3 linked regions of the Macaca fascicularis genome follow. The main gene of each other region encodes a partner of the protein of the gene in region 3 in a complex. Links are inferred from orthologs where the notes say so. Each region holds a gene or a part of one and is shown on either strand. Other genes may lie near its edges. The genes, in order: MAD2L1BP, MAD1L1 and MAD2L1.

The links.
Region 1: the proteins of MAD2L1 (region 3) and MAD2L1BP are in contact, whole or in part, in a crystal structure (PDB 2QYF), measured with the Homo sapiens proteins. The link is inferred for Macaca fascicularis from reciprocal best matches to the Homo sapiens genes MAD2L1 and MAD2L1BP. Residues at the interface, in NP_002349.1 of Homo sapiens: Tyr33, Arg45, Thr52, Leu54, Lys122, Asp126, Glu127, Arg129, Ser130, Arg133, Gln134, Thr136, Ala137, Thr138, Thr140, Phe141, Leu142, Leu144, Glu179, Val181, Arg182, Leu183, Arg184, Tyr199, Asp205; in NP_055443.1 of Homo sapiens: Pro61, His79, Tyr82, Gln83, Gln85, Pro88, Leu89, Pro90, Gln93, His96, Ala185, Leu187, Arg188, Phe191, Arg192, Phe195, Asp198, Ala199, Phe200, Ser201, Glu202, Leu203, Gln204, Ala205.
Region 2: the proteins of MAD2L1 (region 3) and MAD1L1 are in contact, whole or in part, in a crystal structure (PDB 1GO4), measured with the Homo sapiens proteins. The link is inferred for Macaca fascicularis from reciprocal best matches to the Homo sapiens genes MAD2L1 and MAD1L1. Residues at the interface, in NP_002349.1 of Homo sapiens: Tyr38, Leu61, Tyr64, Asn67, Val68, Trp75, Gln82, Lys83, Ser89, Ile91, Glu92, Ser93, Gly94, Arg99, Gln101, Ser150, Phe151, Asp152, Leu153, Leu154, Ile155, Tyr156, Thr157, Asp158, Lys159, Asp160, Leu161, Val163, Lys166, Trp167; in NP_001013858.1 of Homo sapiens: Glu527, Arg528, Ala530, Leu531, Gln532, Gly533, Asp534, Tyr535, Gln537, Ser538, Arg539, Thr540, Lys541, Val542, Leu543, His544, Met545, Ser546, Leu547, Asn548, Pro549, Thr550, Ala553, Arg554, Leu557.

The regions. Positions count from the first base shown.
Region 1 is NC_088378.1:127,881,781-127,891,319, forward strand, and holds MAD2L1BP (MAD2L1-binding protein), read right to left. Parts: upstream 7,338-9,539; 5' UTR 7,303-7,337; coding exon 7,257-7,302; intron 6,789-7,256; coding exon 6,523-6,788; intron 3,320-6,522; exon of another isoform or gene 3,245-3,319; coding exon of another isoform or gene 3,158-3,244; coding exon 2,645-3,157; 3' UTR 2,236-2,644; downstream 1-2,235. UniProt on the Homo sapiens protein: May function to silence the spindle checkpoint and allow mitosis to proceed through anaphase by binding MAD2L1 after it has become dissociated from the MAD2L1-CDC20 complex.
Region 2 is NC_088377.1:35,702,986-35,713,522, forward strand, and holds the start of MAD1L1 (mitotic spindle assembly checkpoint protein MAD1), read right to left. Parts: upstream 6,055-10,537; 5' UTR 5,981-6,054; intron 3,790-5,980; exon of another isoform or gene 3,787-3,789; 5' UTR 3,610-3,786; intron 3,218-3,609; exon of another isoform or gene 3,215-3,217; 5' UTR 3,205-3,214; coding exon 3,055-3,204; intron 1-3,054. Other genes in the region: MRM2 (rRNA methyltransferase 2, mitochondrial), read right to left, coding at 8,821-9,263. UniProt on the Homo sapiens protein: Component of the spindle-assembly checkpoint that prevents the onset of anaphase until all chromosomes are properly aligned at the metaphase plate.
Region 3 is NC_088379.1:125,162,399-125,171,977, forward strand, and holds the end of MAD2L1 (mitotic spindle assembly checkpoint protein MAD2A), read right to left. Parts: intron 8,814-9,579; coding exon 8,667-8,813; intron 5,070-8,666; coding exon 4,949-5,069; intron 3,924-4,948; coding exon 3,820-3,923; intron 2,927-3,819; coding exon 2,754-2,926; 3' UTR 2,070-2,753; downstream 1-2,069. UniProt on the Homo sapiens protein: Component of the spindle-assembly checkpoint that prevents the onset of anaphase until all chromosomes are properly aligned at the metaphase plate.

The sequences.
Region 1 (9,539 bases), on a different chromosome or scaffold from region 3:
AAAGTCAAAATTCTGGCTGGTAGAATATGCTTCAAGTGGTCATAGCACAGAAAAGAGCCCAGGCGGCCGGGCGCGGTGGCTCAAGCCTGTAATCCCAGCACTTTGGGAGGCCGAAGCGGGCGGATCATGAGGTCAGGAGATCGAGACCATCCTGGCTAACCCGGTGAAACCCCGTCTCTACTAAAAAATACAAAAAACTAGCTGGGCGAGGTGGCGGGCGCCTGTAGTCCCGGCTACTAGGGAGGCTGAGGCAGGAGAATGGCGTAAAAACCCGGGAGGCAGAGCTTGCAGTGAGCTGAGATCCGGCCACTGCACTCCAGCCTGGGCGACACAGCGAGACTCCGTCTCAAAAAAAAAAAAAGAAAAAAAAAAAAGAAAAGAGCCCAGGCGTTTTGCTTTCATTGATTCCATATTTACTCAGCACCTATTGCAGGTTCCATGGCAGACACCAGAATCTGAAGCCAGAGAGGAAAATCTTACAGCTTCCTGATGCTAATACCTTTGGCAAGGCAAATCTTGGCTAAATATTTCAGAGTAAAACCACATAGGATGTGCAGTACTGTAGGGGAATCCAAGTTTCACCACTTAGGCAAACTGCTCAATCTCCCCTGGCCCTATCTATAAAATGGGGACAATAATTCATGCACTGCAGAGTTGTTAGGGTTAGATAATGTAAGTGCTTAAAATAGTACATATACTTTTTAAAAAATAGTGTATTTTAGGAGTACATATATGTATCTTATACTATGTACATACGTGTGAGTATATATATACCTTTTTTTGTGTGTGTGAGACGGTGTTTCACTCTGTAACCCAGGCTGGAGTGCAGTGGCATGATCTCAGCTCACTGTAACCTCCACCTCCTGGGTTCAAGCGATTCTCCTGCCTCAGCCTCCCAAGTAGTTGGGATTACAAGTGCCCACGACCACGCCTGGCTAATTTTTTTTCTTTTTTTGAGACAGGGTCTCACTCTGTTACCCAGGCTGGAGTGCAGTGGCGTGATCTCGGCTCGCTGCAACCTCTGCCTCCTGGGTTCAAGCAATTATTCTGCCTCAGCCTTCCTAAGTAGCTGGGATTACAGGCACTCGCCACCAAGCCCGGGTAATTTTTGTATATTTAGTAGAGACAGGGTTTCACCATATTGGTCAGGCTGGTCTTGAACTCCTGAACTTGTGATCCACCCACCTCAGCCTCCCAAAGTGCTGGGATTACAGGGATGAGCTACCGTGCCTGGCCTTTTTGTGTGTGTGTATTTTTAGTAGAGACAGGGTTTCACCATGTTGGCCAGGCTGGTCTCCAACTCATGACTTTAGGCGATCTGCCCACCTCAGCCTCCCAAAGTGCCGGGATTACAGGCATGAGTTACTCACCTAGCCTATATATACCATTTATATATTATACATACACATGCATATACCTATCCCCAACACCAGCAAAGTGTGGATTCTGTCTTCAACTTGCTTCCAAAAATTGAGGTGTTTGGCCGGGCACAGTGGCTCCTCCCCTCTCGCTACTCAGCATACCTGCTCAGTTTACTACAAACCAAGCACCAGGCCAGACTATTTCCCAAAATCACTGCTTTTATTCAGTGGCCTGGTAAGCTAAGTTCTTTACCACAATCTTCCCACATAAAGATGACCTCTGCTTTGGGGGATACAGAATTTAAGCATCACAAAAATCTGTATGTGATAAGAAAAGCACATTGGCTAAAAGATAGCTAATGAGGACTCTAGTCCTAACTGTGTTATCAAAGTACATATGCACTTGGCCAAGTCACTTAACTTCCTAGATTAGCCTGGGGCTGAAGAAGAGAAAAAATCATTATTAAAAAATCCTAAGGCTGGGCACAGTGGCCCACACCTGTAATCCCAGCACTTTGGGAGGCCAAGGCAGGTGGATCACTTGAGGTCAGGAGTTTGAGACCAGCCTGGCCAATATGGTGAAACCCCATCTCTGCTAAAAATACAAAAATTATCTGGGTGTGGTGGTGGGCACCTGCAATCTCAGCTACTCGAAGGCTAAGGCAGGAGAATTCCTTGAACCTGGGAGGCGGAAGTTGCAGTGAGCCAAGATTATGCCACTGCACTCCAGCCTGGGCGATAGAGCAAGACTCCATCTCAAAAAAGAAAAATATAATAAATTTTTGAGACGCCCTGAAGCAGAAGAGGCCAAGGAGAAAGACAAAATAGCCTAAAACCTGACAAGTTATTTTAAGTCAAAAGAATTTCAGGAAAATATAATAAGAATCTATTTATTTTATATTTAAATTCATAAGTCACATCCACATTATGTTCCTGGGAAAAATTCTGAAAGGACACAGCAAGGAGCAGAAAGGGCCACCTTCATGGAGTTTCTGTCTATGGACCCATCTTTGCTTTACAACCCCTAACAGAAATACCTGACCCAGCACCCTCTGGGAAAATCAACCTTTGATTCAAAGAGATGTTGTTCAGCAATGATTACAGTCACCGCCACATGCCATCAGCCCATCAGGAAACCTGAGGAGGGGAGGCAGACAACCAGAAGGAGAGTTGCTTCGTCTCTCACCAGGAAGAAACTCTAGCTCCAAACTAGATGGGTAATTCAGTGCCACATGAAGAAAGATAATTCAGCCATTGTGTTTTTATAATTAAGAAGCACTCATTCACTCGCGGAAGCCTTTAAGTGTCACTGGTGCCTGGAACCAAATGTAGTCTTCCCAAGCCGTGGTTCGGATGGAAGGTCTGCCACATGACAGGGTCACAGTCAGTTTATGGCCCCGGCTGGGCACTCGATAGTTGAGCTTGGGTTGAAACCAATCTTCTCCACAGTCGCGGTGTCCCTGTGCCATGATGATGGTGCCCATGAGAGGAGGAGCCTGAAGCTCACTAAAGGCATCAGCCATGAATATGGCTCGGAAGAGACGGCGCAAACAAGCTGCTGTGCTCAGGCTCTGGTCCACGCTGTAGGGGGCCAGCAGAGACAAATCGAGTTCATAGAACTCCTTGGGGCTTAGGGAATTGCCCCCAAGGAGAATCAGCACTCGTGGTACTAGTGTCCGTGCAAAGAAGTCCTCCAGGTGGCTGAGGACACTCTCCAGTTCTGCCACAGCTTGTTGGCATTTCCTGCTGCTCACCTCAGTGGTGGCCCGAGGTTTCTTCTTCAGCATCTCCTCTGCCTGTGAGGACAAAGAATGGCGGGAGAGAAGAACAAGGCAGGGGGAAGCTAATGCCCTTTGAAAAGAACCCTGCTGGGATGTGTACATAGACTTACAGGACTGAATTTCTAGCTCAATGAACCGCCACAGCCACAACACTGTGTTTTATCAGAGGGCATTATACTGAAAAGGAAAATATATTATTTGTACAAAACCATAATTCTCCCACATATAGAACAGCAAACACAGTGTTCTGAAGGTGGAGAATATCCAGATATAAACAACTAAAATAGAGATTTGGTAGTATGACAAAGTGACAACAAATTTTTGCTATACAGGGAGTGATAACAGGAATAAGGATTATTTGGTCTAATAAACATGACTCTGAACTTGTTCTTCCACTTAAACATAGTAAACTGAACAATGCTTATTTGCGCTTCCACCTGAAATACTACAAAATGAGAGAAAAGAAATTAAGAAACAAATGAACGAAAGAAGAGGAAAGACCGAGAAAGAAAACTCCCAAGGGCAAAGAACTGGAGACTACACAACACTAGTCAAATGCAAACACAAAGTTTTGGAAGACAGAAAGAGGATGAAGAGTTGGCCGAGCGCAGTGGCTCATGCCTACAATCCCAGCACTGAGAGGCCGAGGCAGGTGGATCATGAGGTCAGGAGATCAAGACCATCCTGGCTAACACAGTGAAACCCTGTCTCTACTAAAAACACACAAAATTAGCCTTGCCGGGCACGGTGGCTCATGCCTGTAATCCCAGCACTTTGGGAGGCCGAGACAGGCAGATCACAAAGTCAGGAGATCGAGACCATCCTGGCTAACACGGTGAAACCCCGTCTCTACTGAAAATACAAAAAATTAGCCGGGCGTGGTGGCGGGCGCCTCTAGTCCCAGCTACTCGGGAGGCTGAGGCAGGAGAATGGCGTGAACCCAGGAGGTGGAGCTTACAGTGAGCCGAGATGGCGCCACTGCACTCCAGCCTGGGCGACAGTGCGAGACTCCGTCTCAAAAAAAAAAAAAAAATTAGCTGAGCGTGGTGGCGGGTGCCTGTAGTCCCACCTACTTGGGAGGCTGAGGCAGGAGAATAGCATGAACCCGGGAGTCGGAGCTTGCAGTAAGCCGAGATTACGCCACTGTACTCCAGCCTGGGCGACAGAGCAAGACTCTGTCTCAAAAAAAAAGAAAAAAAAGAAAAGAAAGAAGGTGAAGAATTAAGAGTTCAAGAGAGCTGAATACCAAGTGCTGACAGAAGGGACTCCCAAGGGATGCAAACTGATACACACAGCAGAACCCCAGAAAGGTTTAGGAAGTGGTGATACAGGCACCACAGAGGCAAGAATGAATATAGGGGAAATGAATGAAAATCTGTGTCAAGATGCTTAGATCATCTGCCAAATTTCTCCCCCATCCAGAGGGAAGACTTTCCAATACTATGTTTAAGGAATCCCCCCAAAGAGATCACCAGGTTGCCACCTAATCTCCTTATAGTGAAGTCTATAAGCTCATAAGGCCCAGGCATGCACACAGAGCTTGCAGTGATTTGTTCTTAAATATTCACCAGACACAATAAAATTCTCCAACATGAAAGTCAAAGACCAGAACAAAACAAATGGAGAATGGATTCTAGAAGAAACTGAGATGCCGCAAAGAACAAAGAAAAACTTCAAAAATTAAATAATATCCTCAGGCAAAAGAAGTTCATGGCCTGGTGCGGTGGCTCACACCTGTAATCCCAACACCACTTCGGGAGACTGAGGCAGGTGGATCACCTGAGGTCAAGAGTTTGGGACCAGCCTGGCCAACATGGTGAAACTCCGTTTCTACTAAAAAAACAAAAATTAGCTGGGTAAGCCAGGCGTGGTGGCTCACACCTGTAATCCCAGCACTTTGGGAGGCCAAGATGGGCAGATCACTTGAGGTCAGGAGTTTGAGAGCAGCTTAGCCAAAATGGCGATACCCCGTCTCCACTAAAAATACAAAATTTAACTGGGTGTGGTGGTACACACCTGTAATCCCAGCTACTTGGGAGGCTGAGGCAGGAGAATCGCTTGGAACCCAGAAGGTGGAGGTTGCAGTGAGCCAAAATCGCTCCACTGCACTCCAGCCTGGGCAACAGAGCGAGACTCTGTCTCAGAAAACAAACAGGCTGGGCATGGTGGCTCATGCCTGTAATCCCAGCACTTTGGGAGGCTGAGGCAGGCAGATCACCTGAGGTCAGGAGTTCGAGACCAGCCTGGCCAACATGGTGAAACCCTGTCTATACTAAAAATACAAAAATTATTTGGACATGGCGGCGCATGCCTATAATCCCAGCTACTTAGGAGGCTGAGACAGGAGAAGCGCCTGAACCTGGGAGACAGAGGTTGCAGTGAGCCGAGATGGCGCCACTGCACTCCAGCCTGGGTGACAAGAATGAAACTCCCTATCAAAAACAAACAAACAAACAAAATTAGCCAGGTGTGGTGGTGCATGCCTGTAATCCCAGCTACTTGGGAGGCTGAGGCAGGAGAATCACTTGAACCTGGGAGACTGAGGTTGCAGTGATCTGCGATAGTGCCACTCTCCTCCAGCCTGGGTGACAAAGTGAGACTCCATCTCAAAAAAAAAAAAAAAAACAAAGCAAAAAAAAGTTCATACAGAAATTCAACAACAGGATGCTATTAAAAAGAAACATGCAGGCCGGGCGCAGTATTTCACGCCTGTAATCCCAGCATTTTGGGAGAGGCCAAGGCGGGCAGATCACTTGAGGTCAGGAGTTCGAGACTAGCCTGGCCAACATGGTGAAACTCCATCTGTACCAAAAATACAAAAATAAACCGGGCATGGTGGCACGTGCTCTTAGCTACTGGGGAGGCTGAGGCACAAGAATCGCTTGAACCTGGGAGGCAGAGGTTGCAGTGAGCAGAGATCACGCCATTGCATTCCAGCCTGGGCAACAGAGCAAGACTCTGTCTCAAAACATAAAATACAAAAATTAGCTGGGTGTGGTGGCGGGAGCCTGTAATCCTAGCAACTCAGGAGGCTGAGGCAGGAGAATCCCTTGAACCCAGGAGGGGGAGATTGCAGTGAGCCAAGATCTCACCACTGCACTCCAGCCTGGGCAACAGAGCGAGACTCTGTCTCAAAAGAAAAAAATGCGAAGAGCCAGTTCATTAAGACCAAATGCAACACGAGTTTCAGAAAGAAAGAACAGGAGAAAAAGCCAGAAGGGTTAGGCTACCAAAGACTAGAATGGGGAGAAAGTGACTGAAGCCCTGGAAGCTGCTTAGTCTCTCAGGCTCTGAAGATTTCTTAGACCCCCTTTCTACCTGCCTCCCATCTAAGAGCCACAAAGTCTTCCCACCAACTTGCTCCCAAAGCCTGTGCCTACCTGGGGAGAAGGTTTTCGGTAAAAGTTCTTAAGCTGTTCATAGGGCAGAGGGAGTTGCTGGCGTTGGTACATGATATGCTTTAGAAGTTCACAAGTAAACTGACAGCAGCCTTCCTGGCTTACAGGCCCAGGAAACACCACTGGTACTATGCAGTCTCTTGGGCAAAAGGGCTCCGAAGGGTTGAGAGGTTCCTGGGTAGAGCTTGTCTCAAGCAGTTCTATCTGGGAGGCGTGAGTTTCTTCTGACTTCTCATACCACTCCAAATCTGGTAGATGAAAAGAGGGACAAGAGAGAAAAATTTAAAACCTAAAAGCCAAAGTCAGTCTTCTCATTCCCTGTGGCCACCAAACCAGCCACCCTGAGAAAGCAGGCACTCCGACATACGCCCATACCCTCCGCAGCCTACAGTGTGGGCCGTGGCAGGGAGAGATTCCTGATCCCTGTTGCCTGAGGAGATTTAATTGACTGAAAGATAGTGGGGGTATTTCGGAGGTAGTAACTAGGGCTCCCCGCTCAGAAAGCAGCGGGACTTGATCTGGGGAAATGAGTCAAAAGTGTAGTCAAGCAGGGTCCAGTGCGACCCACGGCGATGGAGTCACAGCTAGAGCCTTGTAGGACACCCGGAAGACAGGGAAGATGGGCTAGGGAGAGGACCAAGGGATAAATGGAGGGCGCGGAGGTAGGGAAGAAACGGGTCCCTAAGGCTTCCCAAACTCTGGGCCCCACGCCTTACCAGGGACTGAGGCTGGGGACAGAACCTCCGCCTCCGGCGCCGCCATCACGACCTCCTCCCCTTACTCCTTGCGGTTAGAATAAAGGTCCCGCGGGGCATCATGGGAAGCCCGCGCCTCCACTTCCGGTTCAGTTGGGCCGGAAAAAAGGCGCGGCGCCACGGCAGTGTTGGGGAGGCTAAGTGGAGTTGGGATTTGATCCCTCCGTTCCTTCCTTAACACCCTGGCAAATATACGCCTAACCCTTGCCCAGCAAGAACCCAGGCGTTCTCAGCCAATGAGCGCTGCTTTCCAAAAGACACCAACCCTCACGCATCCATTCACTCCAGCATTCACTACTCACTGTGCACCTACTTCGTGCCAGGCCCTGTCCTAGGTGCTGGAGACTCAGCGGAGAACAAGCCAGGCGCGGACCCTGTACTCAAGGGGTTCACTGCCTGTAGATACGATACAATGTGATGAATTATACAGAAGGGTTTACACGGGGTGTGGAAGTGAAAAACAAGGGTGCCTGACCCAGAGAGGGTAGGGGCTGGGAAGGAGTGGTCCCAGAAGAAATGTGTGAAGCTGTGACCTGTAGGATAAGTCAGCAAGGTAAAGAGGAGGGCCCAGTGCTCCAGGAGACCTTGAGACAAGAGCATACTCTGTTCAAGGAATGAAAAGAGTTCATATTATAAAGAGTTAAGGCTGTAGTGAACAACAGGAGCCAGATCATGGCAGGACTGTGTAAGCCATGTGAGAGTTTGGACTTGATCCTGTAGTCAGATGGGGAAGCTTTGAAAGGTTTAAGTAGGAGAGTGGCATGATTAAATTTACATCTTATAATCTCTACCCTGGCTGCAGGGTAGAGATTGGATTACAGAGAGGATAAGAGAGGAGGCAGGGATACCAGTTAGAGGTAGTGCAATTACCTGAGTACTTGATGAAAGCAGCCTAAACTGCTAGGGTAGTCACAGTGGGGTGGAGATAATTGGGTAACTCGATATATTTAGGAGGTCCAGTGAACATAACTTGGTGATTGATTTACAAGGAGGAGGAGGAATAGAAATAGACTGACAAGAGGCCGGGCGTGGCTGCTCACACCTGTAATACCAGCACTTTGGGAGGCCAAGGCAGGTGGATCACAAGGTCAGGAGTTTGAGACCAGCCTGGCCAACATGGTGAAATCCTGTCTCTACTAAAAATACAAAAATTAGCTGGGCATGGTGGCATGCACCTGTAATCCCAGCTACTCAGGAGGCTGAAGCAGGAGAATCGCTTGAACCGGGAGGCAGAGGTTGCAGTGAGCTGAGATCACGCCACTGCACTCCAGCCTGGGTGACAAAGCAAGACTCCATGTCAAAAGAAAGAAAAGAAAAGAAGACTGACAAGAAAACAAGCAGGTTTCTGACTTCAGCAATTGTATGGCCAGTTGTGCCAGGAGTTTGATACCAGCCAGGACAATATTGGGGACCCTGTTTCTGCAAAATTAAAAAAAAAAAAGTTTTTAAAAGTTAGCCAGGTGTGGTGGGTGCACATCTGTAGTCCTGGCTATTCAGGAGGCTGAGGCAGAGGATTGCTTGAGTCCAGGAGTTCGACAGTTACAGTGAGCTATGATTAAGCCACTGCACTTCAGCCTGGGCAGCAGAGTGAGACCATGACTCAAAAAAAAAAAAAAAAAAAAAAGGATGGAGGAAACACTAAAAGAGGACCAGGTTTATTGGGGTGGGAGGTGAGTAGGAGAAAAGATGAGTTCAGCTTTTCACAGATTGAATTTGACATCTCCATAGGACAATGAATAGAAATATTTAGGAATGCCATTTGGAATAGCGACATGTATTTAAGAGCCATTATCATGTGAGTGGATAACATCACCCAGGGAGGGTGTGGAATGAGAATGGGCTAGGTTATTGAAGACACTAACATTTAGGGGATGACCACAGAGACAGAACCTATGGAGAAGACTAAGGAGTACCCACAGAAGGATAAAGAAAAATAGACAAATCGCCGGGCAAGGTGGCTCATGCCCGTACTCCCAGCACTTTGGGAGGCTGAGGTGGAAGGATTGCTTGAGCCTGGGAGGTTGAGGCTACAGTGAACTGTGATCGAACCACTGCCCTCCAGCCTGTGTGACAGAGTGAGACCCCGCCTCCAAAACCAAAATAGACAAGTGGGGCCAGGCATGGTGGCTCATGCCTGTAAGCACTTTGGGAAATCAAGGCAAGGGGAATGCTTGAATCCAGAAGTTTGAGACCGGTCTGGGCAACATGAGACCTTGTCCCTACAGAAAAAGACAAGTGTCAGGT
Region 2 (10,537 bases), on a different chromosome or scaffold from region 3:
GCAGTGAGCCAAGATCACACCACTGCACTCCAGTCTGGGTGATAGGGCAGGAGTTCGTCTTGGAAAAAAAAAAAATCTAGGCCAGGCACGGTGGCTCATGCCTGTAATCCCAGTAGTTCGGGGGCCAAAGTGGGTACATCACTTGAGGTCAGGCGTTCGAGACTAGCCTGGCCAACATGGTGAAACCCTGTCTCTAGTCAAAACTACAAAAATTAGCCGGGCATGGTGGTACGCACCTGTAATCTCAGCTACTCCGGAGGCTGAGGTGGGAGAATCACTTGAACCCAGGAGACGGAGGCTGCAGTGAGCCAACATTATACCACTGCACTCCAGCCTGGATGACAGAGTAAGACCCTGTCTCCAAAAGAAAAAAAGAAACTTCTTTTTAAACACATTCTCAGGGCGTTCACATGCACGTGAAAGTTTGATAAGCACCAGAGTAGAGTGGTGGTTCCCAATGAGGGCCAGTTTTGCCCCTGGGAACATCTGGCACTGTCTGGAGACACCTGACTGTCACAGAAGGGTAGTCATATGTGTGTGCTGCTGGCTGGCATCCAGGGGGTAGAGGCCAGGGATGTTGTTCAACAGCCCACAATGCACAAGAAAGTCCTGAGAAAAAAAGAATTACCCAACCCAAATGCCAAGCATGCCAAGGCTAGGAAAGCCCGGGACGGGGGAGGGAAGTTTCTCTGTCCTCCCACCTGTGTTCTCTGGTGGCCCAAGCCCACGCTTCCTTTCTTACTATGTTACCGTGTCTCGATTCCCAGCTGCCGCTGTTTGGGCATTCCTAAGACTGCCCTTCAAACTCAGCAGCCTTCCTGGTCTCACTTCTGTGTCTGCAGTCAAACCTGAGCCTCTCGAGAAGGGTGGGCACCCCACCTGCAGGGGGCATGACCGGCAGGGACCAGGAGTCCCAGACACACCTGATCCGTGTGCCACCTCTGCCTGGAGCTAACTACAACTGAAAGACAGCAACTGAAAGCTTGCCCTTACATTAAATCAACACAGATGTGTGATAAACCAGACAGCACACATTCCCCGGCCTGCCATGGACTCCAGGCCCTCTCTGCCATGCTGGGGGCTCAGCAGGAGAGAAAGAACCACAACAAAGTCCAGAAACGGGATGTGACAGGGGCCAGGGACCAAGGCTGGGCTCACCGACATCACTCTGCTCGCCACCTCGCTCTGACTACCGCACCCCATCACTGATCCCCTCACCGAAAGGCCCTTAACAGTGAGCACTGGGGGCCTCTCAGGTCCAAGACAGACTAGAATCCCAAAGCTTTGACAGATAGGCCAAGAGGTCCCAGACATTTGCATCAAGGAAATTACAGCATTTCAGACCAGAGTTGCCAACTCTGTCATCCAGGCTGGAGGGCAGTGGCGTGATCTCAGCTCACTGCAACCTCTGCCTCCTGGGTTCAAGCGATTCTCCTGCCTCAGCCTCCCGAGTAGGTGAGATGACAGGTGTACGCACCCGCCTAATTTTTGTATTTTTAGTAGAGATGGGGTTTCACCAAGTTGGTCAGGCTGGTCTCAAATTCCTGACCTCAAGTGAACCACCCACCTCAGGCTCCCAAAGTGCTGGGATTCTAGGCGTGAGCCGCCGCAACCAGTTCAGAGTTGGCAACTTCTAATTTTGCCAGTGATAAAAACAACAACCATCTATTACCTTCATAATTTCATAAAAGAGCATTTACATATACATATCACATATATACATACACACACATATACACGTGACCTAATCTCAGAATACAAAACTGTCCTCATGAAGAAACGGCAGTAAGCAAGCTAGCAGCCAGCATTCTTTTTTTTTTTTCTTTTTTGAGACGGGGTCTCGCTCTGTCGCCCAGGCTGGAGTGCAGTGGCGCGATCTCGGCTCACTGTAAGCTCCGCCTCCCGGGTTCACACCATTCTCCTGCCTCAGCCTCCCGAGCAGCTGGGACTACAGGTGCCACGCCCAGTTAATTTTTTGTATTTTTAGTAGAGACAGGGTTTCACCATGTTAGCCAGGATGGTCTCGATCTCCTGACCTCGTGATCCGCCCATCTCGGCCTCCCAAACTGCTGGGATTACAGGCGTGAGCCACCACATCCAGCCACAAGCTAGCATTCTAATAAACACATATTAATTCAATTATGCAACAAAACAAATGCACACACACACAGCTTTACCAAATGCAGCAGGGCCTCATCTGGGCTCTGAGAGCACAGGAAGCCAGAGCCTCCTCTAATGGGCACAGGACTACAGAATGGCTCTGGGGCCTGCAGCAGGGACTGGGAAAGAGGGTCCAGGCAGAGGGGTCTAGAGGAGCCTGTGCAGCCACAGGGCCCAGGCAAGGCTGGAGACACTACTTGCCAGCACTCCCCAGCACTCCACTCCCCACCACTCGGGGGCCCCGTTATCCCAGCCCCACGTGGGGCTGGGCCCATCACTCTTTGGATCCTGAAGTCCTTCAGGAGACCTGAGTCCTCTGCAGTTGTGTCTACAGTGAGCAATCCCCCAAGAACTAGTAACGAAACCAAATACAACTATTTTATAGAAGAAATCCGTAAAAATCACCCCAAAATCTGAAAATGGCCCTCTACAGCCTGAGACCACAAAACATCCCGTCCTTCTGCTCACGGCTGTGGCTTTGTCTCTGGGCTGCCGGGCACTCCCGCACTGTGTTTCCGACACAGCCTGCCCGACGGTCCTGCTGCTCACACTCCCAGGCAGTTTGGGTTCTGTCCTCAATTAGATGAACGAACTGGCTTTCCGATCCTGTCACCAGGGTCTGTGGGTGCACTTGTGTGAATGCAATGCTGAGCGCCAGGCCCACTCAGGGTGCTAACAAGGCAGGCCTTCGAGCCAGGATGGCTCAGGGCCCCAACTAGCCTCCAGCTACTGCCCCAAAACGAGAAGTGGCCACAGTGAGGCCTGGAAGATGAGCAGCTGGTCTCTAGGCTGAGCTAATACTGACCCACCTCAACTACAGAACACTTGAACAGGCCCTGCCTGGGCCCAGGGGTCTCCCCAGAGAAGACTCCCACCCAGGCACATGCCACTCACCTGCATGCTCTGCTGGTACTGCATCTGCAGAGAACCTGGGGCCGAGGTGGAAATATCCAGTCCAGATCCTCCCTCCACCCGCTGAGAGATGAAGTTGTTCAAAGATCTCAGGGTGGATAAAACCGTGGTGTTTTCCCCCAGGTCTTCCATGGTTGCTTTCCTTCTGGGAACAGACAAAGGACTGGTCAGGGCCAGCCTTTCTACGTGCCATCAGCTGTGCAGTCAGCGGGGCCTCTGGACATCCCCACTCCCCTAACGCTCATTGGAGCCCATAATACACCAGTGTCTGTAACCACATTCTTCAAAGGCAACTGGGAGCCATGCTGCCAATTTACCAGACAAAAAATGGAAGCAAGAAAGCATGCCACCAAATCCCCGCCACTGAGCCACCGACTGAGTCTCAGCTGCACACAGACAGCTGGCGCCCAAGAGGCGGAGCTCAGCACTCAGGTGGCACGTCCTCCCACAGCACTGTAAGAGGGTTCTCCAGAGAGACAGAGCCAACAGGACAGAGACAGACACACGAGAGGGGCATTATTAGGGAAACGGACTCACACGATTAGGGAGACTGTCCCACAACAGGCCGTCTGTAAGCTGGAGCCCTAGAAGCCTGGCAGTGTGACACAGTCCAAGTCTGAAGGCCTCAGAGCCAGGGGGGCCGATGGTGTAATTCTCAGTTCGAGGAACTGCTGGAACGAGTCCTGGAGACCAAAGGCCGGTGAGCTTGGAGTGCTGCTGTTGAGGAGAGGAGAAGAAGGGTGTATCCCAGCTCCCGCAGGCAGATGGACACATTCGTCTTTTCTGTTTTTGTCCTCTCCAGGCCCCAGGCTCTTGGATGGTGCCCCCAACACTGGGGGGTGGATCTTCAGCACCTGGTCCACTCAGACTCCCAAGCTCATCACCTCTGGAAACACCCTCACAGGCACACCCAGAAACAAAAATGATGCTTTCCCAGGTTTCTAGAAATTCCTGAATCCAGTCAGCTGATGCCTGAAACTAACTACCAGGAGCACTCACAAAAAAGTCTGGCCTCCTGCCCAGGTGGGATGGCTCACGCCTGTAATCCCAGCACTTTGGGAGGTGGAGGCAGGCAGATCACTTGAGGTCAGGAGTTCAAGACCAGATTGGCCAACATGGCAAAATCCCATCTCTAATAAAATACAAACACTAGCCGGGTGTGGTGGTGCGCGCCTGTAATCCCAGCTATTCAGGAGGCTGTGGCACAAGAAACGCTTGAACCTGGGAGGTGGAAGTTGCAGTGAGCTGAGACCGCACTACTGCACTCCAGATTGGGTAACAGAGTAAGACTGTGCCTCAAAATAAATAAATATTAATTAATTAATTAAGGCCAGGCACTGTGGCTCATGCCTGTAATCCCAGCACTTTGCAAGGCCAAGACGGGCAGATGACCTGAGGTCAGGAGTTCGAGACCAGCCTGGCCAACATGGTGAAACCCTGTCTCTATTAAAGCCGGATATGGTATGCACCTGTAATCCCAGCTACTCCGGAGGCTGGGACAGGAGAATTGCTTGAACCTAGGAGGCAGAGGTTGCATGCAGTGAGCTGAGATCGCACCACTGCACTCCAGCCTGGACAACAGAGCAAGACACCGTTTCAAAAAATAATAATAATTAATTTTTTAAAAAGTCTGGCCTCTGGGAATCAGAAATGAGGCATGCAACAGTGACAGTAAAGATGATCATCACAGCTGTGCTAATTTTCATTGTTTATTTCTAGTGACATTAATAAGTACTACTACTATTTTCAACTAGGTACTGGAAAGAAAGGTATCTGACATTTCCGAGCACGGAGACTTCTTGAACTTCAGCTTCCTCATCTGTCAACTCATGACAGTGAAATCTACTTGCAAAGTTGTGGGGAATGGGGTCAATATCCCTCAAGTCTTCCACTGCTAGATAATGGGAATGCAGCCGCAGGTTGACCAGCACTACATTTGTAAGCTCAATCTTAACAGGGTGGTGAATCAGGTCTTTTTACACAGATTCTAGAGATGATGAAACTGAAGCTTCAAAAAGTTACAGAACGGAGATTGGGAACTTGGGTCTGTCTGGCGTTGGAAGGCTGAAGACAAGCAGCAGCAAAGAACTTTGCACCCCTAACACCTGCGCTGACGATGGTCTCACGGCAGGCCGGCCCACCAGCCCTAACAAGGGGAACAGCCAAGCGCGTTTAACAACCAAAGGTAGAACTCCTGCAGCTGCACAGTTTCTGAGTTTCCATTGAACAAGAACCTCGGCCTGCTGCAAGCAGAGCCCTGAGCTCCCCAGGCTGCGAGCCCCGCAGAGGCAGGCCCGCCTGCAGGGAGGCTCCACAGCCCAATTCCTCCATTGCCCAGAAGAGACCAGGGCGACCCCTGCCATCCCCGAGGGGAAACCGGGCCCACACGCCCCCTTCCTGAGAGCGGGCCCGCGCGAGCCACGAGGATGCCAAGAGCCCCTGCAGCCCCGACTTCTCCACCAGGCGCCAGCTCAGGCCCCTTCCTCGGCGCGCCGGCACCCTAGCCCGGAGACCCCCACGGCGGGCACGGGGACCCCCACGGGGGGCACCCGGACCCCGGGGCTGGGGCCACGAGCACGCGCCCCTCGGCCGCCCGCCCTGGCACAAGGGACGGCTGCGGAAACCCAGGCGAGGGGCCCGCTGTACCCAGCACAGCCCGAAGTGGGGCGTGGGGACAGCGGAGTGGGGACAGGGGAGTGGGAAGAGGAGGAGAGAGGAGGGGAGAGCACAGAGAGGGGAGCGCGCCCATGGGAGGCGGGGCGGGCGCGCGGTCCTGAGGCACGGGGTCCAGGGTCCTTGTGCCCCACCCTGGCGGGCACACCCGGTCCGGGCCCTCGGCCCCGCCCTTGCCACCCCCGGGGCCCCAGGACCCCAGAACCCCGCCGCCCGCGAAGGCCGGGCCGCTCACCTCAGTCTCCCGCAGCCCACTTGCCGCCGCCGCTCGGATCTCCCTCCGCTCCGCCCGCGCCCACTTATCGCGACACTTGCGCCTGCGCTCTCGCGAGACCTGGGTGGGAACCGGGCCGTAAAGAACCGAGTCTTCGCACCAGCTGGTCCTGGGGCCTCCGTGCCCGCACCCAGAGCCGCCACCCCCGGGAGACTACACACGGAAAGGACTCGGAACCGAAGGCCGGGCCAAGGCGCAGTCGGGGTCCCCGACCCCGCGCAGGACGCGCTTCCACTAAGGCTTTCGCCTCGCGCCGTAATGTGTGGAATAGCCGCGCCCATAGCAGCCTCCTGCAACAAACTTGCATTGTTGACTCTTCCCAAAATTTTGCTACTCAGTATCAGCTTGAATCAATCCGTTATTTTGCTTTTATCTGGGCCCACTAGAAATGCAATTTATGCTACTAGGCTACCTCCTAATGCTCTGCAAGCCAAGGCACAAAATCCAACGGGGTGAGGTCAGGCCCCACTATTATTACGGTAACCTTCGTCTATCCTTCAATTTGGAGCCTTCCTGAGAAGAGTGTGCCTCCTCTCTTCTTCCCACCTCTGCCCAGTCCCTGGCTTCCCTCTAAGAAGATGCTGTTCCTAAGGGTCTACATTGAATTTTTCTTCTTCCAGAGAAAAAGACTTCCAAGTTGTGTGCCCCGGAAATGAAAGGGAATGAGAACGAGGTGGAGTAGGGCAAGAGAGTCCCTGGACTTAACTACCTGACTGCAACCAGAAATAAAATGAAAGGCCAAAACATCTGGCGGCCGGGCGCCGTGCCTCACGCCTGTAATCCCAGCACTTTGGCAGGCCGAGGCGGGTGGATCACGAGGTCAGGAGATCAAGACCTTGACTAACACGGTGAAACCCCGTCTCTACTAAAAATACAAAAAAAAAAAAATTAGCCGGGCTTGGTGGTGGGTGCCTGTAGTCCCATGTACTCAGGAGACTGAGGCAGAATGGCGTGAACCCCGGGAGGTGGAGCTTACAGTGAGCCGTTTCAAGGCACTCCAGCCTGGGCGACAGAGCGAGACTCCGTTTCAAAAAAAAAACAAGTCAAAACATCTGACCTGCAGTTTCCTTTGGGGAGCTGGACCAAGCCCCAGATCCCTGATGGCGATTCCTGGGTTTCCAGACTTACCGCACTGGTGCTTGGAATTGAATCATAGTTACAGTCAACACACTTCTTGAGGGATGAGTACACCTCCAGGAAATGGCTTTGAGGAAGCCAGTTTTAAAAAAACAAAACTTAAAAGCATGAAAGTCCCTTACAATAATGCAACTTCTATTTTATTAAATACAAAGCTGCGGCCGGGCGCGGTGGCTCACGCCTGTAATCCCAGCACTTTGGGAGGCCGAGACGGGCGGATCACGAGGTCAGGAGATCGAGACCATCCTGGCTGACACTGTGAAACCCCGTCTCTACTAAAAACTACAAAAAACTAGCCGGGCGAGGTGGCAGGCGCCTGTAGTCCCAGCTACTCGGGAGGCTGAGGCAGGAGAATGGCGTGAACCCGGGAGGCGGAGCTTGCAGTGAGCTGAGATCCGGCCACTGCACTCCAGCCTGGGTGGCAGAGCGAGACTCCGTCTCTAAATAAATAAATAAATAAATAAATAAATAAATAAATAAATATAAAGCTGCATCGAGTTCCTAGAAGAGTAAAAGAAAATAAACACACCACATCACTGCTTGCTTTGGCAATTACCTTTATGTTCTTGGGAGTCCAGACACAGATACAAATTTCCAGCGAAAACCAAAGCACACCCAGTGCATGAGTAAATTCAGACCATACGTCTTCCCTAATCGCTCTGGGAACTTCTGCTGCTTGAAGAATGCATGAATCTCTAGATTACTCACCAGAAAGAAAGAATTTAATCCCCAGATGGAAATTTCAGATTTTTCTTTTGGTTTGGTTTTTTGTTTTTTCATTTTTGTAGAGACAGTGGGTGTTGCTATGTTGCCCAGGTTGGTCTTGAACTTCTGACTTCAAGAATCCCCCAGCCTCAGCCTTCTGGGATTATAGGTGTGAGTGGCCTCACCCAGCCCCCAGATTTTCTACTTTAAATAGCCACACTAAGAACTGGAAACCTGTGCATGGTGCTCTGGGAGGAGCAGTGGAAAGCCTGTTTCTGTGTGACAGTTTAACAGTCTGTAAGATGAAGTCCCGTCAAGGCACACATGGGCACACCCATCCCTGCCTCAGCGGATTCCTTCTGATTCTTCCCACAGTCTGTCTCTCTTCATCCTTCCATCCTCACCTCTTTCTCTTGATAACTTTCTCCTCACAAATCAATATAGAGGACTTTTTCATTTTCCATGGCCCCTGAACTTAGTTTTGTCATCTCTTTTTGGTTAAAAAGAGAGAGAGAAAGAAAGAGACTCCCAGCCGGGCGCGCTGGCTCACGCCTGTAATCCCAGCACTTTGGGAGGCCGAGATGGGCGGATCACGAGGTCAGGAGATCGAGACCATCCTGACTAACACGGTGAAACCCCAAATACTAAAAATACAAAAATTAGCCGGGCGCGGTGGCAGGCGCCTGTAGTCCCAGCCACACGGGAGGCTGAGGCAGGAGAATGGCGTGAACCTGGGAGGCGGAGCTTGCAGTGAGTGGAGATCGCGCCACTGCACTCCAGCCTGGGAGACAGAGCGAGACTCCGTTTCAAAAAAAAAAAAAAGAAAGAGACTCCCCACTTGTCCTGTTCCATCTCCAAAATCAGCTCAGATCTCCCAGGAACTCTTCCGGAAGGAGCTCAGGCTACGTTTCGAGCTTAAAAGAAGCTAATGACCATTATGAAAATGGCACAAGAAATCCTCACTGCTTCACAGCGCCCTTCCTTCCCTGGTACTGTGTGGCCAAGAAGTACACTTCTGATGACTCTTTTCTGCTGGCTTCAGGTTTGATGATCCTTACATTCTGGAATTCCTCTGTCAGTCTCCTCTGTAACCGATGGCTTTGACTTCCAGCCCAGGTTTTACAAAGGAATGTTCCCCGAGGTTGCAGGATGTCTGGGGTCATGCTGAGAAGGGTCAGGCACAGGCTGATGAGCCTGTCATGATCGAGGTCCCGGAACCCTGTGGCATTGGGCGCCATGTCGCTCAGAATCACATCTGCTCTCCCACCAGGAAGCACCTCGAGGATTCTCTGTGAGGTTCTCGGGTCAGTCACATCAGCAGGGCACAGAAAAGTTGCTCCTTCCAGGGGGAATATGTGAAGAAGATCTACCCCAAGCACGAAGCCAACAGGAGAGCTGGGATCTATGGAAGAAATGGTGAATGTGTTATTTATTTACACCCTGAATGTTTTCACAAAAATATAGTACATGCAACAAAATGATGAAATAAAAGTAAAATGTCAAGACCAATGCAAAGAGCTAATGTGCAAATAGGTAAACACAGGCCTTTTCTATCTATACATCCTATAAAGACACGTGGTGGGGGAAGTCGTGGGCCTTAACATCTGAGAAGCTGAGGCCCATACAGGAAGTAACTGTCCTAGAGTCATCCTCAGCCATGGGCAGACCTGTGCCAAGCGCCAGGACTTCTGATTCCAAATCTGGTATCATTTCACTACCCAAGGCTCACTCTCTGTGAAAGGGTTCTTATCTCTGAGTGCTCTTTTGATAAACTAAAATAGAAAATAGGCCGGTCGCAGTGGCTCACAACTATAATCCCAGCACTCTGGGAGGCTGACACAGATGGATCACCTGAGGTCAGGAGTTCGAGACCAGCCTGGCCAACATGGGGAAATGCTGTCTCCACTAAAACTACAAAACTCAGGCAGGTGTGGTGGCACATGCCTGTAATCCCAGCTAGTCGGGAGGCTGAGACAGGAGAATCTCTTGAACCCAGGAAGCGGAGGTTGCAGTGAGCCAAGATCACGTTCACGCTCTCTCCTTCTGTCACCTTCTCCTACAAGGCATGCTCTTGCTTCATCTCAAGAGCACTACACTCCAGCCTCAGCGACAGAGCGAGACTCCATCTCAAAAAAAAAAAGAAAAAGAAAAAGAAAATAATATACTAGTGCATAAAGTGCCTCTGGATTAAATCAATAAATCCATTCTCCTTCTCCACCTTAATCCAATTGCTTCCAATGTAAAAACTACTGGAAATAAGTCAAGAGATGAGGAAAATGAACACATACAAAATAATGTACAAAAACTGATACCAGCTAGGTGCGGTGGCTCACACCTAAAATCTCAGCACTTTGGGAGGCTGAGAAGAACTGCTAGAGCCCAGGAGTTCTAGTCCAGCCTGGGCAACATAGCAAGATCCTGTCTCTACAAAAAAATATAAAAATTAGCTGTAGTCTCAGCTACTCAGGACACCCAGCTAAAATGAGGCATGAGGCTGGGCGCGGTGGCTCAAGCCTGTAATCCCAGCACTTTGGGAGGCCGAGGCGGGCGGATCACGAGGTCAGGAGATCAAGACCATCCTGGCTAACACGGTGAAACCCCATCTCTACTAAAAAATACAAAAAACTAGCCGGGCGAGGTGGCGGGCGCCTGTAGTCCCAGCTCAGAAGAGGCTGA
Region 3 (9,579 bases):
CCTTCACTTGCTTTGGTCAGTGTGAAAAAGCTGGCTTTCAGAGTCCTAACCAATGTCCCTCCAACAGAATGAGCTAGGTGCAGCAAAAGTCAACCAATACATGAGACTGTTATACCTCAGCATAAACCTTCTCACAGAGGTTTGACTTCTCTGATGACACTGGGAAAAGGATCCTGAAAGCCAGATATATTTCCACTCCTCCTGGGCTCTACTTCAGACCATGATGGGCTTAACCTCTGTTCATCCCTCTACATATGGTAAGCAACACTGAGCCAGAGTCCAGGCCAGGCCTAGAGACCCATCATGCTGTCTTAAGAAGAACCTTCTCTTTAACATGGTGTAGAAACCACTCACAAGTCTTTCAGCTGTTGGTTTAAATGTCTTCCTCCTGAGGTAAGCCTCAAGGTCTAAAAAGAGGATGGGACAGTCCACTTGGAGCTACAGGGCAAAGCTTTTCCAGTCTAGCTTCACCTCAATAAAGTTCATAGTTTGGCTCCCGCTCAGCTCCAAAATGTGTATTTTATACATTATTAATTATTATTTTTTGAAATAGTCTTGCTCTGTTGCCCAGGCTAGAGTACAGTGGCACGATCTTGGCTCACTGCAACCTCCGCCTCACGGGTTCAAGCGATTCTCCTGCCTCAGCCTCCCAAGTAGCTGGGATTACAGGTGCCCGCCACCATGCTCAGCTAATTTTTGTATGTTTTGTAGAGACGGGGTTTCACAATCTTGGCCAGGCTGGTCTCAAACTCCTGACCTAGTGATCCACCTGCCTCGGCCTCCCAGTGCTGGGATTACAGGCGTGAACCACAGCACCCAGCCCAAAATGCGTATTTCTTAATTGATTATATAATCTGTAAGGGTTAAAATGACTCGTCATGACTAGCTCCCCAGAAACCTCAGAGTAAACAGTAACATGCAAATGATACAAAAATCTAAGAATTGAATCCTGTTAATAACGGTAGCTGAGTTGAAATGACCAGAATATACACACAACCTTTAAAAATGTGATTTCAGCAGGGCGTGGTGGCTCACGCCTATAATCCCAGTAGTTTGTGACATTAAGGCAGGTGGATCATGAGGTCAGGAGTTCAAGACTAGCCTGGCAACATGGTGAAACCTCCTCTCTACTAAAAATACAAAAATTAGCCACGCGTGGTGGTACATGCCTGTAATCCCAGCTACTCGGGAGGCTGAGACAGAATTGCTGGAATCCGGGATGCGGAGGTTGTAGTGAGCTGAGCTGCGTCACTGCACTCCAGCCTGGGCGACAGAGTAAGATTCCATCTTGGGGCAAAAAAAAGTGATTTCACAGAATTTAGTCTGACATCTCAAATAGTTAAAATACAAATGAAGCATTTATTGGCCATTTTCTTGATATCATCTAGCTGGGTAACACCAGTGCTCCATTTATTCCATAAAGATATGAAGAGTCTACAAATTTGTCACTGAGAACCCAGAAACTGCCACTGATCCACAGTATTTGCTCAATATGTAATTTCTGAATGAACACATTCAGACTATCTGCAATTACTTCATACACATAAAGAACTTAAGTGTCTAATAATAAGCATTAATAAACTGAATTTTTACAAAATGAGGTCAGATTTAGATTAGAGATGAGAGAAGACTTTACAAATCTGCCTTAAATTGACTTTGGAAAAACAGGTGAGAACTGGATAGAAAGCATGTACCAGATGAAGGTATTAATGAAAGCACAGGAATAAGCATAGTATTTAAATACCTAAAGAAAAGTAGGCTGATAATAAGGCTAAGAGTATAGTAAAGTACTAAAATCAACATTTGTTCAACTGGAATTGTTGGACTAATTCCAAAGGACATTTATCCTTTCACAATGATGAAGTAATAGCTTTGTCTATTGCTATGAGATCAACAGGATGTGATCAAAGTTTATCCATTAGATTGAAGACACCTCAAGACTCACTCAACTTTGTATCTTTAAGTTCTATAACTTCATAGGAACAAGAATTCAATAGTTATGCTGAATCAATTCTAATTACCATTTAACTATATCAACACCAAACCAGTATCAAAATTTTTAAGACAAATTTAAAACAAACTTAACTTTATTTCCTCACTTTCACTTAAAACTTGATTTTATAAAACACACACACACAAAAACATTTTTAAGAGTTCTGTATCACAGAACATTAAAGAGTACAAATATCCATTGTTTCATAAGTTCAAGTTACATAAATTAAAGTCAAATTTGGAAACTGATTCATTAGGGAAAACTATACATGAAATGAAGGTCAAAAGGAGCTAATACAGCAATATTTCATGTTTATAGATTATTAGTTACTTTCAGGACCTTAGCAAAGATTCTGAATATTTAGACTTCCTTTGCTGTATTTTATACTTAAATATCTCCCTACCTATACTGAGTCAAGCTACTTGACCAAAACATCTGATTTAGGAAAGCATTTAGCTTTATAGCACAAGTTTTTCCATCTACAGTTACTATCTTCAAAGAATATACATCACAACGTTGACAAAAAAAATTCCTGGTTCCTTTTGAACAGTGTGCAATAAATTCATGATGTTAACTCCATGGTAAGTCAAATAGGCACCAAAAAATAAAAGGAACAATTACACACAGTTCAGTAAGTATCATTTTGGTTTTCTCCATGTAAAAATTAACCAATGAAATAAAACATATTAACTGTAGATGATTTGATTTCAGGAAAACCAAATTTCAAAATTACAATTACATTATTTTCCTCACGTCATCCTCAGTCATTGACAGGAATTTTGTAGGCCACCATGCTATTTACTTTGTGGATTGTAGTAGTAAATGAACGAAGGCGGACTTCCTCAGAATTGGTAATAAACTGTGGTCCCGACTCTTCCCATTTTTCAGGTACAACCAAATCTTTGTCTGTATAAATCAGCAGATCAAATGAACCTAAATTGGGGATAAGATCATTAAAGTACATTACTTTCTAAAAGTAAAACTAATCTTGTTGCCTCTCTTCTATTTTGAACAACTCACTGCTGGAAAAGGTCATTTGGCTTGGCCTCTAATCACTAATTTATTTTGCTCAATGAACATTTATCTTAATAAAGAAAATATTGTATCTAATTTCTGTGCAATTTAGTGATTGTGTTCAAGTAACCCTTATCTTATTTAATAATGGTCCCAAGGGTGGGTGCGGTGGCTCACGCCTGTAATCCCAGCACTTTGGGAGCCCAAGGTGGGCGAATCACTAGGTCAGGAGGAGATCGAGACCATCCTGGTTATCATGGTGAAACCCCGTCTCTACTAAAAATACAAAAAATTAGCTGGGCATGGTGGCGGGTGCCTGTAGTCCCAGCTACTGGGGATGCTGAGGCGGGAGAATAGTGTGAACCTGGGAGGCAGAGCTTGCAGTGAGCCGAGATCGCGCTACTGCACTCCAGCCTGGGCGACAGAGTGAGACTCCGTCTCAAAATAAATAAATAAATAAATAAATAAAAATAATGGTCCCAAAGCACAAGAATAGTGATGCCAGCATATTGTTATAATTGTTCCAGTTTATTAACTCTTACGATGCTTAATTTACATATTAAATTGTATCACAGGTATGTATGCATAAGAAAAACATCATACAGGGTTCATACTATCCATGGTTTCAGGTAGTCACTGTGGGTCTCCTTGTGGAAAGGGAGACTATGATACATTAATTTTCCTTTATAATGTTTTTTCTTCAATTTATATTACATAAATCTGACAAGACAAAATTGAATAAAGGGGTGATTAAGGCAGTAGCTTAGTCTTTTTGCCAATCAATTTAATCCAACAAGAAGTTGTATACTTACAGGAAACTTCCAACAGTGGCAGAAATGTCACCGTAGCTGTTATCTGTCTGATCACTGAACGGATTTCATCCTGGATAGCTTTCTGAGACTTTTCTCTGGGTGCACTGTCAAAAAAAAAAAAAAAAAAAAAAATCAACAGTGCACCCAATCAATTAATTCATTTTAGGTTTTAAGTTATTTCAAACATAGTGGTAAGATTATTTATTTGATTAAATGCTCTCAACATCAAATAAGCAGTGCTTTAAAAAGGAGGTTTGTAAAAACTGTGAATGAAAGTATCCTTTGGACCTATAACCTAGTAGGCACAACATACATCCTCATTACTTCATTTATCCTGCCAGGCATCTTTTAGAGCTGGTCTTAGTGTCAGGTCATTTAGTATCAGATGACTAGAAAATCTGCCAATCATTTCAAGTTCAGGAAACTTCAGCATCTCTTGAAATAAAATAACAAATGCTATCTAAAATATTTAATTGGTATAATCATTTTGGCACTTTTAGTAATGCCTAAATGTCTAAATTCCTATTTTCTCAAATAAAACATTAAATTGTGTATCAAATTATTTTATAAGCTAAAAATTTCCTAAAATAAACCAAAGCCTTCAGAAGCAAACTACATTTCACTGTAAGAAATGGTTCCCAGTTTATAGAAAAGCATGCCTAGGACAATGCTAAACATTAGAGTATAAAGACAGACACTTCTCTTCCAGGGAGTCTGGAACTTTCAGAAATTTATCAAGTGTCTTAGGAAGTAGATGGCATTAAAGGAAGTACAGCAGAGCTACATCATAAATTGTGTGAATCTAATATAATTCCTTATAGTTAAAAACATCTTAGAACAATTCATTAAATGGTTCATCTAGTATATCATGTGTAGTTTTGTATATACCACCATAAATACTGTTTGAAAATTGCTGATTTAGACTAAAGGCAATTATATATATACAAATCAATGATATGTTAAACCGACAATTCTTTTCCACAGGTGACTGAGGATATCTTAGAAAATATAAATTAGAAACAAACTATATTTTATATAAAACTAGTTCAATATAATTAGAACTCAATTGGTAATAAAAACAAGTTTTGAAAAAATATATCAAAGTAGAAATAATGTAATTCCTACTTACCTGTCATCTTTTGCAGTCTTGTCACACTCAATATCAAACTGCCATCTTTCCAGGACCTCACCACTTTCAATATTTGAGATAACTACAACCAGTTTCTGAACTGAACACTTGTATAACCAATCTGCAACACATAAAAATGAAGGCATCTTTCTTGGTCCACTGCATCATAAAGTAGCTCTCTTCTCAGGTCCTACTCCCTATCCTCAGCAAATTCCTACCACTGCTATCTTGGACTTCCTCCTACGTGCAAGAAAATTTGCACCATCAATACTCTAACTTCTGTTTTCAAATTCTCAGTATCTGTACCAGGTACAGTAATTGGTGCTGAGGACAGAATACTGAACATATGGTACTTTCATCCTAATCCAAGATAAAAGCATAGGAGATGGGCATTCATCTACTCATCACACCAATAAATGACAAATTATCATTGTAATGGCTGCTATGAAAGAGAGATGTAAGATGCAATGAGAGCATAAAAGAAGGAAAATTTGAGCCACTTACGGAGGTCAGAAAAGGTTTGAGTTTAGCTCTAGGGATAAACAGCATTAAATATGCAAAAGGATAGGAAAGAAGATACAGGCCTCAAATACTCACAAGGGAAGAGCATATAACTAGAAGACTGGAAGCAGCTCACTACAAGTGCAATCAAGAAACAAACAAACAAACAAAATAAAACAATACAATCCTTGCAAGATTAATAGAAGCCAGACCACGCAAAGCCTGGTGGATCAAATTTAAAAAATATGCACTTCAAGACCAGTGAAGTCATTACTGTGTGTGAAGCAGGATGTAAAGCAATTAGTCTTGTATTTCAAAACTATCATTCTAGCTGTGATATGGAAAGTAGACTGGAGATGTTAAAGAGGGGATCTAGAGACACTAGTTGGTCCATCAGTAATTCGAGCAAGAGTTAATGAAAGCTTGTAGGAGGATAAACTGGTAGAGACGAAGCAGTAGGTAAATGTAAGAGATTTCATGGTTAAAATTTATTGGGTTTAGTCATGGTAGTAAGGAAGAAGCATGATTCAGGGACAGCTTCCAAGTTTCTTTTATTTCTGTTTGGACGGTTTAGCCACTGACAGAGAGAAAATTAAAGAGTATCAGTTTTGGATATGATCCTAAATTTAATTTTTAGTATGCTTGAGTATATGTTATCTCTGGGATAGCTACATAAAGATATAGCTGCTGAATATATGAGTCTGGAGAAAGAGGCTTTGGGATAGATATATAAGTTTGTGAGTTGACTACACAGAGGTTGCTAGTGAAGCTATACACAGGTCAGAAATCACCTATAGAGAAATTATAAAGACAGAACGGGGGCTCAGATTGAGCCTTGAAGTAATCTTGGAAATTGAAACAGCATATTCAGGAGTCAGCGAAGTTTTTGTAAAGAAACTTTGTAAAGAAAAATTACAAAAAAGAGTAATTAGTAAATATTTTAAGCTTATAGGCCACCAAGGTCTCTGTTGCTTATTTTTAAACAAACCTGAAGTGTAAAAATATTCTTAGCTTGTGGGCAGTGCAAAAACAGGCCACCTGTTGGATGCGGCCTGTGGGCCTTGTGATCCCTGGCATTTATCAACAACTTTTTATGAGTTTCACTCTGAAAAGGAGGAGACTGGGTGGTAATTTGTTCTTCCTTTAAAACTGGAGAGATGAAAACAATGGGGATAATTAAAATCAAAACACAGAAGCAGAAAATATAACAGAGAACAGGATCAAGACCCTAAAAAAGGCTAGAGGAAATGACATTCAAAACAAAACAACTGGCTAGGTGTGGTGGCTCACGCCTGTAATCCCAGCACTTTGGGAGACAGAGGTGGGTGAATCACGAGGTCAGGAGTTCAAGACTAGCCTGGCCAAAATGGTGAAACCACGTCTCTGGTAAAAATACAAAAATTAGCCGGGCATAGTGGCAGGCGCCTATAATCTCAGCTACTCGGGAGGCAGAGGTTGCAGTGAGTGGAGATCACGCCACTGCACTCCAGTCTGGGTGACAGAGTGAGACTCCAAACAAAAAACAAACAGAACAACTTGCCTCTAGGGAAGAGCAATTTTTCCACTTTAACTAAAATAAAAGGGAGAAGTTAAATAGGAAGGTCTAGACACACATAACGTGAAGTGTCATCAATGCAGTCTCAAAGGAGACAACCTAAAAACCATTGGCTTCAATGCAGTCTCAAAGAAGACAACCTAAAAACCATTGGCTTAGGCAATGCTTGCTTCTCTAGCAAATTAAGATGGAAACACACATCCATAGTTGCCTAGAGGTTCCAGGCCAAATGATCTGAGTGCAGCCCTATGAATCACTACAGATGATTTATTCCTGACCCCCAATTTTGGATGCAACTCTGGGAGAGGTGGACACTCCTATCAATGTCTTTCCTGTGTACACTTGAGAACAGAGGTCTATTCCCACACCAAAAGAGGTCTCATCTTGCTATTTTGACAATACCAATCTACTACAGCAGCAGTTCTCAACTAAGGGCAATTTTGTCCCCTTGGGCACATCTGGCAATATAATTTATGGAGACACTTTTGGTTGTCAGAGCAAGGTGGTTTGTTACTGGCATTTGGTTAGTAAAGGCCATAGATGTTGGTAAACATTCTATAACACACAGAAAAGCACCCACACCAAAGAAATATCCAGGCCAAAATGTCAACAGGGCTATCTTCCCTTGCCTGTCAATTTAAGACGTAACATCCACAGGTTGTTGAGGCATTCCACTCCTGTACACATAAAAGGCAAGGCAATGTTAACAGTTTATCTAGAGGATAGTATAGGTTGAAAGAGAGTTATCAAGCTAAAAAAGTTCACATGGCCATTATCGGAAGGGCATATTAAAAATAGGTTAGTAAAAATGCAATAAAAATGGCAAAACAAAGACACATTTCTGGTCAACAACAAAAGAAATAATTTCTAAAAAAAAAAAAAAAAAAAAAAAGATGCCCACTGTAGTACTTTCAAAAATTTTAGAAGATCAAATGGGAGAAACATTTGAAAAATTAGAAATGAGAATCCTAAGTGGAGGGTAACATGAAAGAGAAACTAACAGGAATTCTAGAAAGGAAAAAGAAATAGATGAAGAACAAGTATTCACCCGACAGGTAATACAGCAATTTCTCGAACTAAAGAAAAACGAACGTTCAGACAGAAAAGGCTTACTGAATCACCGGCAGAATTTTTGAAAACGACAAACAGAAATATGTGAAAAACAAAACAAACAAACAAAAAAACTGTGAGTGTTCTGTCATTTAGCAGCTAATCTTTTTCTTTTTTTGAAGTTTATCTGGTTGAATCCAATTTCCTTGATATTAATCTAATGATAACATTAGACTACAGAAAACTAATTAGTTACAGAAAATACATTATATTGAGAATATGTAGTGTATATTTTCTCAGATAGTGAACACCGTTATAATTATGTAAAATTCCAACCTGTTCCATTTGGCCACATTAACTGCGAAAGCCACTTCTAAGGGAGTTGATGAAGACTATTTTTCAGCCATATCAGATTTCTTACATCAAAATATTCAGCCCACTCACAATGTAGTGGGGGAAGAGTGAATTTCTTCCATTTTATATATTATTTGCTTCCTCTCAACTTAAAATATATTTGAGATGTGAGTACACTTCTATTTGCAGAGCGGAAAAATGACCACTTGAGATGCTAAAAAATCTGCAAGACTCAAATTACTTCCAATGATTAAATACCTTTTAGTTGTTCCACCACATTATTTAGGTATTTTATGAGCTCAAGATCAGTAGTTACAAGCAAGGTGAGTCCGTATTTCTGCACTCGAGTAAAAGTTTCAGATGGATATATGCCACGCTGATATAAAATGCTGTTGATGCCGAATGCTGCAAGCAAAAGAAATGTTACAGAAAATTCATTATCACTGCATAACTCTGGAAAATAAAATATATTTGGATGTGGCTATATTTTCATTAGGCTATACAGCTATAAATGACTGAACACACGTGTATCTTGCTGAAAGCAGAGTAGGTACAAAGTGGCATTAAAAATCCTTAAAAGTCTTGTATCTAAGTAAAAAAAGATAATTGTTTTCACGTGCCAAGGAAAAAAAAAGCCAAAGTGTATCAACCTACTATTGCCAAATTTCACCTCATTGTAATCCAAGTCCAAATTCAGATTATGAGGCTAGAGGATGTCAAAATAGGCTGTTGCATTCGAGTCAGCAACTGACTGAATAGTCACTTTGCTCCAGACAAGCCTGTATCTTCCCCTTTCCCTCCCAAATCCTGCCAGGTTCCTTTACAACGTGCAGCTGGCCTGTTCGAGAACAAGGGTTCCCAAAATCTTGTTTACCGCCAGCCTCATGCCTAATAATCACTTAGAGTGGGAGGGTGAGGGTGCTCTCGCAGTTAAAAAAAACACACACATACACACCCACACTGGGACCCACCCCAGTCACGCTGTGTCCTGTATCGGAAAGTAAGGGGTGGGAGGTGGGACGGATCTGCACTTAAAGGAAGAAACGCTCCGGAAGAGGCTACGCCGCGAGGTAGGCCCCAGCAGCACGCAGGCTTGCAGCTCCACGTTATAGCAACGCGTCAGGAGGAACAGCCTGCAGCCGCCGCTCCCAGATTACTTCTCCGGTCTCAG